2 linked regions of the Drosophila melanogaster genome follow. The main gene of each other region encodes a partner of the protein of the gene in region 2 in a complex. Each region holds a gene or a part of one and is shown on either strand. Other genes may lie near its edges.

The links. Proteins that work in one complex are often made in the same cells at the same time.
Region 1: ph-p (region 2) and l(1)G0020 share a complex: the UniProt entries of both Drosophila melanogaster proteins name them as parts of the PRC1 complex.

Annotation. Positions count from the first base shown.
Region 1 is NC_004354.4:8,716,213-8,723,186, reverse strand, and holds l(1)G0020 (lethal (1) G0020), read left to right. Parts: upstream 1-2,909; 5' UTR 2,910-3,021; coding exon 3,022-3,224; intron 3,225-3,283; coding exon 3,284-3,731; intron 3,732-3,791; coding exon 3,792-5,070; intron 5,071-5,130; coding exon 5,131-6,100; coding exon of another isoform or gene 6,101-6,104; intron 6,105-6,121; exon of another isoform or gene 6,122-6,240; coding exon 6,241-6,367; 3' UTR 6,368-6,474; downstream 6,475-6,974. Other genes in the region: CG1789 (uncharacterized protein), read right to left, coding at 1,744-1,953, 2,078-2,581; CG1785 (uncharacterized protein), read right to left, coding at 6,477-6,873, 6,936-6,974. UniProt on the Drosophila melanogaster protein: RNA cytidine acetyltransferase with specificity toward both 18S rRNA and tRNAs. Catalyzes the formation of N(4)-acetylcytidine (ac4C) in 18S rRNA. Required for early nucleolar cleavages of precursor rRNA at sites A0, A1 and A2 during 18S rRNA synthesis.
Region 2 is NC_004354.4:2,131,068-2,138,255, reverse strand, and holds the start of ph-p (polyhomeotic proximal), read left to right. Parts: upstream 1-1,633; 5' UTR 1,634-2,204; coding exon 2,205-2,239; intron 2,240-6,529; coding exon 6,530-7,188. UniProt on the Drosophila melanogaster protein: Polycomb group (PcG) protein. PcG proteins act by forming multiprotein complexes, which are required to maintain the transcriptionally repressive state of homeotic genes throughout development.

The DNA.
Region 1 (6,974 bases), 6.6 Mb from region 2:
CGCGGCGAAAAAAATATTTCACGCAATTCATTCTCACACACACACACACACACACAACGCGATTTAACGAGCTTACAATGAATGCTTAATCCTGTTTTGGGAACAGGACTCCCAACATGCTCATATCCTCTTTTTTGTGGACTGCAACGTGGGAAGTTATGAATCATTGGAAAAGTGCGAAATGTTTTAGATAAAATCAATTTATCCATATTTATAAGTAATCTACATGGATATGGTGGTCTATATAGCCTTTGAATGAATCCATTTTATATTCCTTCACCAATCCTTTTGCAGCATATGTAATATTAAAAGTCAAAGCAATGAAATCCCTTTCCCAAACACAAAATAACCATATTTTATGTTTTTTTTTTTTATCATTATATGAAACAATCATTTATAAATTACCCACCAATCGTTATTAGCTGGGGTTTGTCTTTGCCATTCTGTAATTATATTCGTTAAATTCGGTTTGAAGCAAACACTTAAGCGCGAATTTGCTTTGTCCATTGTCAGGGGCAACTAATATTCAGGGAAACCTTGACCTGCCCGCCCCCAGATGGGTAAACAAAAATAGAAACGAAACATACACTGCCACCCCAGTTGCATGCATATTCATTCGGAGCAGTCACACACATGTGCCCACCGCAATCACAATACCATTTCCATTCATTCATACCCAATACCATTTTGCCCGAACCCCTCGCAGTTTGGCAGTTAAGTTTCAAATTACAAACCCAATTGATGCTAGTTAAAAAATCTGTGCAGGTTTTGCGTTACCATTCGGACTCATCCTCAACTTCATCCCCGATGAGCCCGGTTTGTTGTGATGCACTCGTGACAAGTCCGATTAGGTTAGCCGTACACCGCGGATCCGATCCGATCCCATCCATCCCATCCCATTCCCATTCAAGTCCCTTCCATCCCCTTAACGCCGGTCTCTAGCCATCTATTGTTGTGGAAAGTGTCAACATAGCGATCTATTTTATGCATAATTTGGCGTGCCAAAATGCGCGACTCATCAAAATGGTGTCATATGTTTTTAATCGGGGAAAACAAGGACCAGCAGGCAAACAAAAAAGAAAAAAAAAAAAGAGATACGGGGAGTGTTTGCCCGGTTGTCTGTCGCCTGCGGTTTTCAATTCGAAAAGTTGCAGCCGGTTGCTTATTTTTACAAAAGACAAACATAAAAAAGTTACATTGAATATTGAAAACTTATGTTGCATACACTAACTTGCAAGAGCACATATAAAATATTAGTCTTGAAATGTTCCTCGGAGATAAGAAGAATGAATTTAAAAAATAAGCTGACTTTTTAAATAAAACATTACAAATGTTTAAATTCAGTTTGAAGTTGGGGTCATGACTTGGCTAAGCGTACCTAACTTAACGAAACTCGCACTAAATTTGGTTTGTGCCCTGGAAAGATCTAAATTTCGTTAAATATTTAACGAATCTGAAAAAAGCGTTTAGTCGAGTTACATACCCATTCGCTTTTACTTTTTCTTGTTTTTTTTCGGTATATATTATTCTATTCGGTATATATAAATATTCTGATCAGAACATTCGAATTAATGACCCAAAACTAGGATGCCATATCTCATTTAACTTGTTACTTGCATTTGAATTGCATTCAAAATTGGGAATTATATATGTAATTCCTTAATCCAAAACAATAAAAATCATAGTTTTGTCAAAAGTCTTCAACTAACACTTAATTGCTTTATTAACTAGAGGGGAAATATTCTATTTCTTGCGTTCGTAGCGGAATTTGTAGACGGGCGCACTGTCCTTGGTTCCCGGCTTTATTTTCCTCGGCTTCAGTAGGCGTGGCTGCTTGAGGGTGTTCTTCAGCTGAATCTTCTGCTGGACGATGCCGAGTTCCCTTTCACGCTGCTCGCGTTTCTTCAGCTCGTTGATGCGCTGCTGTTTGATGGGGTTTGGTTCAGTTGTTTTCTACAAAAAATTTAAAGGCAATCGTTACACACAAGTAGAATCATAAATCATAAGTATAATATCAATTATAAATTAGTTTCTCACAAAAGCTTACAACCTCGTTGGTTTTAAAGAGGTGACCTACCGATTTCTTCTTCTTTTCCTCCTCTTCCTCCTCGTCATCATGCTTTAAAAGCCATTCGCCCATGTCCAACTCCATGTATCCGTCTTCGTCAAATTTGATACGTTTGTTGGCTGCTCCCTTAATGGCATCCACGTCCACCAGCGAGGCCTTCAAGCGTTCGATCTTCTTGCGCTCCATGGTGCGCTTCATCACCACGTACTTGAGGTCCTGCGTCTGCATGAGGGCCAATTGCTCGGGCGTGTGCTCGTCCTTCGTGTCCTTCTCGTGGTGCTCATCGTTGGACAGCTTGGAGTTGATCATATGGTGGTAGAACTCATCGGGATTCTTGTTCTGCGCCCGGCGGTACAATAGCTTCAAGGTCTTTTGCTTTTTCTGTGCGTCGATGGCTCGCTTCTTGTAGTCCTTTTTCTTCTCCAGGAATCCCAGATGCTGGCGCGACTCCGGCTGGTGGCGCTCCCTGTGCACCTTCTGGTTGCTTTTCGACGCATTCTTCCACGATGACATCTTCAATTTATGCTAATCCTCGACAGCAATCAAATATGTTCTGTTTTGATAAACGTGCGCTTGGGGAATTAGAGATGCACAACTACTCGATAAATGTATCGCATTGACTCAAAACATCGAATGTGGTGTTAATCGGGAATTTTTAAAAAAATCTCATTGGTAGAAATTCAAGCTGCCTTCTTGAAGACATCAATACAAATCCCACCCGAATTCTACGATTTAAGACTTCGTGTAAACAACATTCATGTGCATTTCACAATGGTAATATGATTGACGATTTCCGTGACATTGTAAAGTAGATAGTTGAGTCGCGACTATCGACAAAGCGCCCATCTCTAAACCGCACACGTGCATTTTGAACGGGCAACAATTTCATTTGCATTATTTACTTCGGAAAACCGGAGTTTTTAAGTGAAAAGTGAACGCAGGAAAGCCGAAGCATGGTGAAGAAGAAAATAGACAACCGGATACGCGTGATGATCGAGAATGGGGTCAAGCTGGGCCACCGAACCATGTTCATCGTCATCGGGGACAAGGCGCGCGACCAGGTTCCCATTCTTTACGACATCCTGACCAAGTCGACGGTCAAGGCGCGACCCACGGTCCTGTGGTGCTACAAGAACAAGGATGAGGCCATCTCCAAGTGAGTATCCAACTGTAGAACTATTACACAGAAACTCAGCTAACTAGATACATTTTTAGTCATGGCAAAAAGCGAGCAAAGAAGATTGCTGTGGGCAAAGTGGATGTCAATGAGGCGGACCTGTTCGATTCCTTTCGAGTGGCCACCACCATTCACGGCAGATACTACTCCGAGACGCACGCAGTCCTCGGACGAACCTACGGCGTGTGTGTGCTCCAGGACTTCGAGGCCCTGACCCCCAATCTTTTGGCTCGAACTGTGGAAACGGTTGAGGGCGGCGGTCTGATCATCCTGCTGCTGAAGACACTGCAGTCGCTGAAACAGTTGTACACCATGAGCATGGATGTGCACAAGCGATTCCGCACAGAAGCCCATCAGACGGTGACCTGTCGATTCAATGAGCGACTCATTCTCTCCCTGGCGGACTGCAAGCGCTGTCTGGTGGTCAACGATGACCTCACCGTGCTGCCACTTAGCTCCAAGACCATCAACGTGGAGCCAGTGAATGTAAGCTGATGCTTGTAAATCTTCTAAAGCAGCTAATACCATTTGTTTCTAAACTTTCAGCCCGCAGGCGCCGGTCGATCGCCCAACGAGGCTAGCCTCAAGGAGCTGAAGGAGAGCCTGCTCACAGTTCAACCAGCAGGAGCTCTGGTTAATCTCTGCAAGACCTACGATCAGGCCAATGCCGTTGCCCAGTTCATTGAGGCGCTGGTCGACAAGCAACTGAAGCCGCCCATGTCCTTAACAGCGGCTCGTGGTCGTGGTAAATCGGCCGCCCTGGGTCTGTCGATTGCCGCCGCCGTCGCCTTTGGCTATGTGAACATCTACGTTACCTCACCGCATCCGGAGAACTTAATCACGCTCTTTGAATTTGTGCTCAAGGGCTTCGATGCCTTGGAGTACCAGGAGCATGCTGACTACACCATTATACGCTCCACCAATGCCGACTACAAAAAGGCGATAATAAGAATAAATATTACGAGAAGCAGCAGGCAGACCATTCAGTACATAGCTCCCAGCGATACTCATCTGCTGAACGCAGCCGATCTTCTGCTGATCGATGAGGCGGCTGCCATTCCTTTGCCGCTGGTAAAGAAGATGATCGGTCCGTATTTGGTATTCATGGCCAGTACGATAAATGGATACGAGGGCACTGGCAGATCGCTGAGCTTGAAGCTCATTTCCCAGCTGCAAAAGGATAACAATGCAAGGCCGCCACTGAAACTGGAGGAATCGATTCGGTATCAGGAGAACGACGACATAGAAAAGTGGCTGATCAACCTGCTGTGCTTGGATGCCAGTACGGTGCCGAGTATTAGCTCGGGCTGTCCCACGCCGGATGCTTGTGAACTGTACTATGTGGACAGGGACGCCCTGTTTTCGTATCACAAGGCTGCCGAGGCCTTTCTCCATCGCCTGGTCTCCATTTATGTGTCCTCGCACTACAAGAACACACCAAACGATTTGCAGATGATGAGCGATGCCCCGGCGCATCATCTATTCTGTCTACTGGGTCCGGTTCAGCGAATGGACGCCCTGCCAGAGATATTGGTGGTTATCCAAGTGGCACTGGAGGGTCAGATCTCCGCCCAGAGCATCAGCGATTCCCTGGGCAGGGGCAAGAAGGCGGCGGGCGATCTGATTCCCTGGAACGTAGCCGAGCAGTATGGCGATCGAGATTTTCCCAAGCTGTGTGGCGTTCGCATTGTGAGGGTAGCCACGCATCCGAATTACCAGAGGATGGGCTATGGCAAGCGGGCCATTCAGCTGCTCAAGGACTACTATGCAAGGAAGCACACTAATCTGGAGGACGGTCCAGTTGCCAGCAAGGATGCTGGTAAAGGTGAGTGCACGCACGCCAATGGTTTATTATGCACTACATAATACTTTAAATTTTGCATAGGTATCGAGGAAGTGGAGGAGGAGGAACTTAGTCTGCTGAAGGAACAAATCCGGCCACGTAGTCGTATACCCACACTTCTGCAGCGCTTGCACGAACGTGTCCCGGAACACGTGGACTATATTGGCACATCCTATGGCCTCACCACCGAGCTGCTGAAGTTCTGGAAGAACGCCGGCTTTGTGCCCGTCTATTTGAGCCAGAAATCTAACGAACTGACCGCCGAGCATAGCTGCATTATGCTGCACACGCCCAATGCCACGCCCTGGCTGGGCCTGTACTACCAGGACTTCCGCAGGAGAGTCCTCAAGTTGATGGGAAAGACGTTCAGGGAATTCGAGACGAAACTCTGTTTGGCCTTGCTGAAGAACAAGTCCGTGGACACGGAAGGTAGTGCACTGAAAGTACTCGATAAGCCAATGCTGGATGTTTACTTCTTGCCGCACGATCTGCAGCGCTTGGAGAGCTACGCCCGCCAGCAGTCCGAGTTTCGTCTAATCATCGATCTGCTCACGGACATTGCCCAGCTGTATTTTCAGGGCAGGATCGATGGTCTGCAGCTTGACCTGGTGCAGCAGGGCATCCTTTTGGCTCTGGGCGTGCAGGGCAAGACTGTGGATGCGTTGGGTCTGGAGCTGAATATGCCGGGTAACCAGTTGTTGGCGAAATTTTTCGATGCCATGAAACGGTGCAATCAGTGCTTCCGGTCGGTACTGGAGGAGCATATCGAAGGCGGCATGCTGCGGGAGGCGGATCTGTCCAAGGGCGAGGAACTGCAACCGCTGACTCTGTCCCTCGACAAGGAGCTGGATCAAACCGCTCAGAAGCTGAGCAAGCAGCAGCGCAAGGAGCTGAAGCGCCTGAAGGCCGAGCAGCTGGACGAATTCCAAATCAAGGGCACCGAAGAGGATTGGTCCAAGGCGCTGGAAACAAACGGAACAGGCGGTGGCAGCGGGCTGCTCTCCGTCAAGAGGTAGGTGCGCCTATTTTTTTTAATAATGTGCTTAATACATAACCACGTTTATTTATTTGTCTCCAGTTTCGTTTTATTATAAACATCACTCAGTTAAAAAAAATATAACTTATTTCGTATTTGCCTCTCTTTCGTTTCAGTGGCGTAAAGCGACTGGATGGACCAATCGAGACGCGTGAGGATGGCGACCTGGCAGCTCCGCTGTCCAAGAAGAAAAAGAAGAACAATCCGAAACAGAGACGCAGTCAGGGCAAGTCCCTGATCTAGAGTTCATAATTTTTTTCGTTTGGGGGGAAAAAGAATGTGGATTTTAATTCTATAGAAAAGTACATATTGTTGTAAGCTCCGTTAAAAATAAAGAGACCTAATAACTGAACTATATCTTGATATTGGCAGTAGCCTTGGCTGCAGCGGCGGCCGCCCTGCGCCGTTCCTTGAGGTCATTATAGCTAACGCCCGGCTCCTTGTGGGAGTTGCGCTCGAAGCGCTTGACCTTGGACTTCTTGCGGCTGACGAGCTTTGTCGTGGGCAACATATTGTTGCGTTGCAGCGTGTGGAAGCGGTCCTTCAGCAGACTGCTCTCAGTCTTCACGTTGCGCAGATTTCCGGCGATATCCTCGGGCAGATTTACGTCTAGGTCTGGCTCCTCGAACTTGTGACGCCCCAGGCGTTTCGGCTCAAACTTGGCCTTCTCGGCGCGCTGCTTGCGGCGCTTCTTTAGATCATTCAGGTCCTCCTCCTCATCGTCTAGCTCGTGGCGAATCGATTTGATGCTGAATGAAGAAACACAATAGAGATTAGAGATGGACCACAACGCCATCAGTTAGAAACTTACCGTATCAGGTCAGCCGTCTGTTGCTTGAGCTTCCTCTTG
Region 2 (7,188 bases):
ACTTAAAAAGCCTAAAAATAATATGGCGGCAGCAAAAAAGAAAAGGAAACGAGACGAGACAAGCCAACAAAAAGCTAATCGGAATGAAAACATTTGTGGGGCTCAGCGACGTTGTTGTTGGATGAGGTGGGAAGAGTAAGAAGAAGACCAACAAGAGCCCAAAGCAACGCACACATACTACAAATGGTGCATGCACACACGCACGGGCTGGCACAAAATGAAAAATGAAATGACAAAGACAGGCACAGTGGGTCATGAGTGGTGGATATTTGAAACATTAATAAACTTAAAACTTAATAAATCAACTCAATACGTATGTCTATTATATAATTCTATTTTACTAAACGTTTTCATTTTACTTATCGTAACATTGTTTATATGTATAAAAAGTTTGGAAAAATTGCTGTTCTAAAAAATTGACCCACTGTACTCTTGGTTCTCAAACTGCAACTGTAAAGCAATCCAATAATAATGGATCGCTTACCACTGTTCAATGGGGTGGAGAGAATAAGATTTCGCTCTGCCTCTGCGCATACGCTATCCTCCCCTTCTCAACCGACACACCCGTGTGTTACTGACAAGCACAACTAATAATAAGGTAAAGCCGATCCGACCCGATCTGATGTGAAAAAGAAGGAATGAGAAAGGAGGTAGAGGTAGGAAGGTAGTCGTAGTGGTGGTGGTTGTGATGGCACGAAAAAAGAAGATGAAGTATAGCAACAATCGTTGTCGAGTCGGGCCGGGCGGTAGACATTCGAGTGTACACACATAAAACTGGCTTCGCGCGTATTTATGTATGTACATACCCGGTACCCACAAAGTAAAAGGGTATACTGGGCACTTGGTTTTAACTGGAATTTGTGTTAGTAGTCAGCACCAATAACTTACAAATAAATATTTAAGAAGGGTTTTCATTTTAAGGATACGACTGAAGTTAGCGAGGAATGGTATATGAAAAAGGGGTATTTGAAAGTCGAGTCACCAGACCATGTTATGTTTTCAGCAACGGAAGGGGGCTTTCAGTCGGGGTGGTTGAGCACGCATACACATGCCCGCCAGCTGTAGTCTTCCTGTTTTTTTTACTCGTTTTGGTTTTGCTTTGTCAAACGAACTGCTGCCGTTTCATTCCAACCCCAAGCGAACGCACGGCATCCCTCTCGCACGCGCTAACTGGCCAGGGCCACTCCTAGTGGCGTCGCACTCGCACCCGTGCATTTCGGTATAGAGAAAAGTTATTAGTCGCAACGGCATCTGAGAAGAGAGAAGCGGATCCAGCTGCACACCAACACACACACATATTCAGCGCACATGCGCTCATTTTGTTTCCGATCCGAACGAAAAGTAGAGTTGTCGCTGTGGCGCGCGGTTCAGTTTGAAACTTAACTTGGCGGTGTACGGTTCTTGCGCTCTGCTCTCTCTGCGTTCGTGTTGGTGTGGTGTCGTATGTGTCGCATACCGCATCGCATGTGTATTGAACGAAGAAAAAACCCGCCGACGCGACATACTCACTGGATACCCTGCAAATTTGTTAAATTTTTTTCAAAAAGAGCTAACGGTGCTGTTGATTAGCTAGTGCAGATGTGCAGACATAAAAAGTGATGCCGCGCCACAGTGGAGCCCCTAGCTGGCGAATCGTCGCTGGCGACGTAGGCAGTGCAGTTAAAACAAGTACTTAGTGCTGTGACTGTGGCTTAATTTTATGTAAGATCGCGTGCACAGGTGCTTAGTCGTTACACTGAGAAAAAGAAAAGTGCCTGCAGCCAGCGGGGAGAAGTTGAAGTGGAGTGACTGTGAGTGGAGGTTGTACTAATTACTACTGCCCGTGCACGAAACACTCATTTACACGCAAGCACACACACACACACACACACACACGAGACACTGGGACTTTTGTCGGATTTTCGTATTCGTTTTGTGTACTTTTGTTGTCTTGCGTTCCACGTTACATACATATGTATATGTTTGGTGTTGCCTGTTGTATGTTTATATTTATTGCCTTCACACATGTGCGTGTTTGTTAATGTACAATATAATACGGCAAATAGCAAAAAGAGAAGAAACTGAGGACTAAAAAGAAAGCGCCATGCCGACTATAACAAAAACAACCACGAGTGTCTCCGCCGCCGCCGAAAACAAAAACAAAACGCCTAAGCCGACGCATGCATACCTATAATTTATTATAAATATTGTTTTTATTTTGAATAATGGATCGTCGTGCATTGAAGTTTATGCAAAAAAGGTATTTTTTGTTTAGTTTGGTTTTATTTTTATCACTGCTTTTGTACTGCCTGCACTTGTGCTTTTTGTTTACAATTTTTGGTTTAATCTGCTCTTGAGCATTGGATATTGATTCTATATCGTATTCGGATAATAATGACACGTTAATCATAATGCTCGTAAAAATGCAGCGAGTGGATATTCTGTGCTCTCTGTCATCATAAAATGCGCTCGACTGGCGGGCCAAGAAAAGAAAATAAATTCATGAAACCCAAAACGAGTTTCCCCTCCGTCGCCCTCTCCGCCATTCATCATCCAACCGACACACGCCCCCCGCTGTGCGGTGTTGTTGCATTTTTAACAACGAATTTCGCAATGCATGCCCGTGTCTGCATTTGTGTGTGTGCGTCGGCTGGTGGTGGTTGATTTCTCCGTCTCTCCGTGCAACCCTCTCTCACTCGCGCAACAAAGCAACATAAAGAAAACAAAAGTTCTATATCGAAAGGTATCAGTTTTTGTTGTTGCTGCGGCAACCCTGCTTACATTTTGCTTTACTCTGCCGAAATAAACAGTCTAGGGTTGTCAGCTGTAACGAATCTGAGAAATCTGTGTTCCGGTTTAACGAAGATTCAATTTTATTGAATACTTTTATATTTCTTACAGTCCGTTATCACTGAATGCTAATTTTTACCTACAAACTTAAATTGTTCGTGGCAAGAAAATAAACCAGAATGATTAAATTATTTTAGACTCGTTTAAAGCACAACAGTTTTTGTAAATAAATAGTTGACAACTCTGTTTACACCTACGCTACACCGCACTCGCTCTGAGTTTATGTGACTGTGTGTACGGCCTGGCCATAGCCTCATCTCGTTCACTCACATTTGTTTCATCTTCTTCGATTGCAGAACTCGTTTGTGTATCAATCAATAGGCTGTCAAGGCCCCCCCCCTCCTCGCTCGCTCCCGCGCATTTTGCACGCCCGAATCCACTGGAGGTGATGTTTGATTTGAGCGCGACCTTTCCCCCGCACCCCTATCGGCGTGTCTGTGTGTGTGTGTGCTGCCCCGCATTTTGATCATTCCTTTCCCACCGCTACTGCTTTCCCCCCGATTGCAAGCAGGCTGTTTTACGGGGGTTCTCACACACTCGAGCTCGAATGTATGTACCCTACTCCATGGCGACATGGAAACCAGTCTTTTTTTTTCTCTCAAGAGGTTTTTCGCAGCGTGCGGCCGTGAGCTTAACTTACACACACTTGCACACGCGCACCCACCACCCTGTGGCGAGTATTCCACCCCTCTGGACCACCCACCCCATATTCCCTTTCTTTTACGGGGTAGCAGCGACATGAGGGTTGCCAAAATGCTTTTACCGGCTTTTATAACCCATTTCGCTCCTTTTTCTGTCTTTTTTGCACTCATGCTTTTTATGCTCTTGCTGTTTATGGGCCTTGCGGGCTTTTTGGGCGATGGAAAGGGGTGGGGATCAGGCTCTCTGGACTGCCGGGCATCACAGTCGCGGTCAATGCAATAGGACCTTGAAACCACGCTTCTCCAGTTAGATCATTCATAGTTGAACTATATCAGGGAACTGATTCAGGAAGTAATATTAGTTAATTATTTCTAGAAAAACATCCTTACCATGTGGAGTACTCAGCCATTTACGTTTGTCCACTAATCCTATTAGCTTGAGCACTACTGTATAAAACACTAACCATCTCGTGTTGCTCCCAACTGTCAGCATTTTTAGCATTTCGATGGAAAGGTCCTTGAACTTCGCCTGCAATTCGCATCGGCTTTATTGCCCTTTTACAATAATATCGAACGGTGCCAGCTGCGTGGCTAAATTAGTTTTCCGGGCTGTTGTTGTCGAACGTTGAACGTGGAAAACGAGTGCGACTACCATGCTGCTCATGGAAATTCGAAAACCCATAGATAAAGATCGATGTGAAATGCGAAGGCTGTCAGGCAGCTCCTTTCTCTTCATTCGTTGAATGCGAAAGTCCGTTAAGTAGTTGGCCAAATGTTCATTGTCGCTGAAAAAGGGCGGGTTCGGAAAAAGGTCCACAAAAAGAACGAATATTTTCGGGATAGGGATTGGGATCGGGATCGGGCTCGGGATCTCTACCTAAAAGTTAACCAGGGTACACAATTCTTAATTAGAAATTGAAATGACATGGTACATATCTTCAGGCTTGACCTTGTGATTAAGTCGGAACTATAGTTTTGATATTATCCCGAGTTAAAGGTGATCGTTACCTCAGAGTCATATTTACTTTTCCCGCGTTTGTTTCTGCCACTCTCGAAAGTCATCTTTTATGTTTACATTGTAAATATGATTATTTAATAAGAGCGTTTTTGTTTGCTAGTTCCCGCATTTGTCTCACACTTTTTTGAATGACTAAAACCAGATTTTTGTATTTACCAAGTAGCCATATTTGCTTAAACAAAAAAAAAAAAAAAAAAAACGGATATCACTTTGTTATAGCTCAAAGAAGCTGGGGTCGGAAAAATCGAATTTTTGAAATTTGAAAGCTGGAATCGTTTGCCCATTTTTTGCCCATGTTTGCCCACCAATTAGTTTTTTTTGCCCACGTCCAGTTTTTGAGATATGAATTTTCGAAAAAGTTCGAAAATTTTCGAAAATCAAAAATTTCGCTTTTTTCAAAATTTTTTTTTTTAAATCGCAATAACATCGTTTGCCCACGTTTGCCCACCCTTTAGAATTTTGAAAAAATTTATACTTTAGAAAATATAAGGCTTTTAAGTTTACCTCGGTCTAATCAGAGAGTAAATCGTTTGCCCATCTCTTAAAACCAAATATTATCAACAAAAAAGGTTTGCCCAACCATTATTATTAGTTTTTATCGTTTGCCCACCCTTTAAAAAACCTTTAACAAAAATTTTTTTTCGATTGCCCACATTTAAAATACACCCAATTTCGTTAGCCCACCTCTTTAAAATAAAAATTTCCAAAAAAAACGTTTGCCCACCATTTAAAACTAAATAATTTCGTTTGCCCATCCTTCAAAATTCATTTTTAACGTTTGCCCACCCTTTAAAAATAAATTATTTCGTTTGCCCACCCTTTAAAATTTGTTTTTTTCGTTTGCCCACTCTTAAAACTAAATAATTTCGATTGCCCACCTTTTAAAAGTAAATAATTTCGTTTGCCCATCCTTTAAAATTCATTTTTAACGTTTGCCCACCCTTTAAAAATAAATTATTTCGTTTGCCCACCCTTTAAAATTTGTTTTTTTCGTTTGCCCACTCTTAAAACTAAATAATTTCGATTGCCCACCTTTTAAAACTAAATAATTTCGTTTGCCCATCCTTTAAAAATAAATAATTTATTTTTAAAGGGTGGGCAAACGTTAAAAATGAATTTTGAAGGATGGGCAAACGAAATTATTTAGTTTTAAATGGTGGGCAAACGTTTTTTTTGGAAATTTTTATTTTAAAGAGGTGGGCTAACGAAATTGGGTGTATTTTAAATGTGGGCAATCGAAAAAAAATTTTTGTTAAAGGTTTTTTAAAGGGTGGGCAAACGATAAAAACTAATAATAATGGTTGGGCAAACCTTTTTTGTTGATAATATTTGGTTTTAAGAGATGGGCAAACGATTTACTCTCTGATTAGACCGAGGTAAACTTAAAAGCCTTATATTTTCTAAAGTATAAATTTTTTCAAAATTCTAAAGGGTGGGCAAACGTGGGCAAACGATGTTATTGCGATTTAAAAAAAAAAATTTTGAAAAAAGCGAAATTTTTGATTTTCGAAAATTTTCGAACTTTTTCGAAAATTCATATCTCAAAAACTGGACGTGGGCAAAAAAAACTAATTGGTGGGCAAACATGGGCAAAAAATGGGCAAACGATTCCAGCTTTCAAATTTCAAAAATTCGATTTTTCCGACCCCAGCTTCTTTGAGCTCTTTGTTATGTTAGTTTTCCATGATCATTAAATTTAATTTTTTAATGTTTAATTTAAGGGCCGTTTTCAAAACATCACGGCCAGTATAAATAATAATAACAAATAATGATGAGAAAGCTGACCTTATTTTTGGGTCAAGTCCGATTCTCAGCTGGGAGAGCTTGTTTTGCATGAGCGGGGAGGGGAGCAGGGGGCAGAACGGGGATGCTGACAACGTGTTTGCATTGCCTTCCTATTGTTTGTCGCTAGGACAAGAGAAGGCCATTAGGAACACTGTTTTTCCAGTTTGTTTGCGTGTGGTGTGGTCCGAAATGACATTGCTCTTTTTTGCTGAGCAAATGTTTACTGATCGCCAAACTTCTCTTTTTCAATCCTCAGAGCGGACACAGAAAGCGATACGACCACACCCGTGAGCACCACAGCATCCCAGGGGATTTCAGCATCAGCGATTCTAGCAGGAGGCACTCTTCCCTTGAAGGACAACTCGAACATCCGCGAGAAGCCCCTCCACCATAACTACAACCACAATAACAACAACAGCTCCCAGCACTCACACTCGCACCAGCAGCAGCAACAACAGCAGGTGGGTGGCAAGCAGCTCGAGCGGCCACTAAAGTGCCTGGAAACGCTCGCCCAGAAGGCGGGAATCACCTTCGACGAGAAATACGATGTGGCCAGCCCCCCGCATCCCGGCATTGCCCAGCAGCAGGCGACTTCAGGAACAGGCCCAGCAACGGGATCAGGCTCAGTCACCCCCACAAGCCATCGGCACGGAACTCCGCCCACGGGCCGCAGGCAAACCCACACCCCAAGCACTCCGAACAGGCCCAGTGCTCCCAGCACACCCAACACTAACTGCAACTCAATTGCCCGCCACACCAGCCTCACGCTGGAGAAGGCGCAGAATCCCGGCCAGCAGGTGGCCGCCACCACCACGGTGCCACTGCAGATATCCCCTGAGCAGCTGCAGCAGTTCTATGCGAGCAATCCCTACGCCATTCAGGTGAAGCAAGAGTTTCCCACGCACACGACCAGTG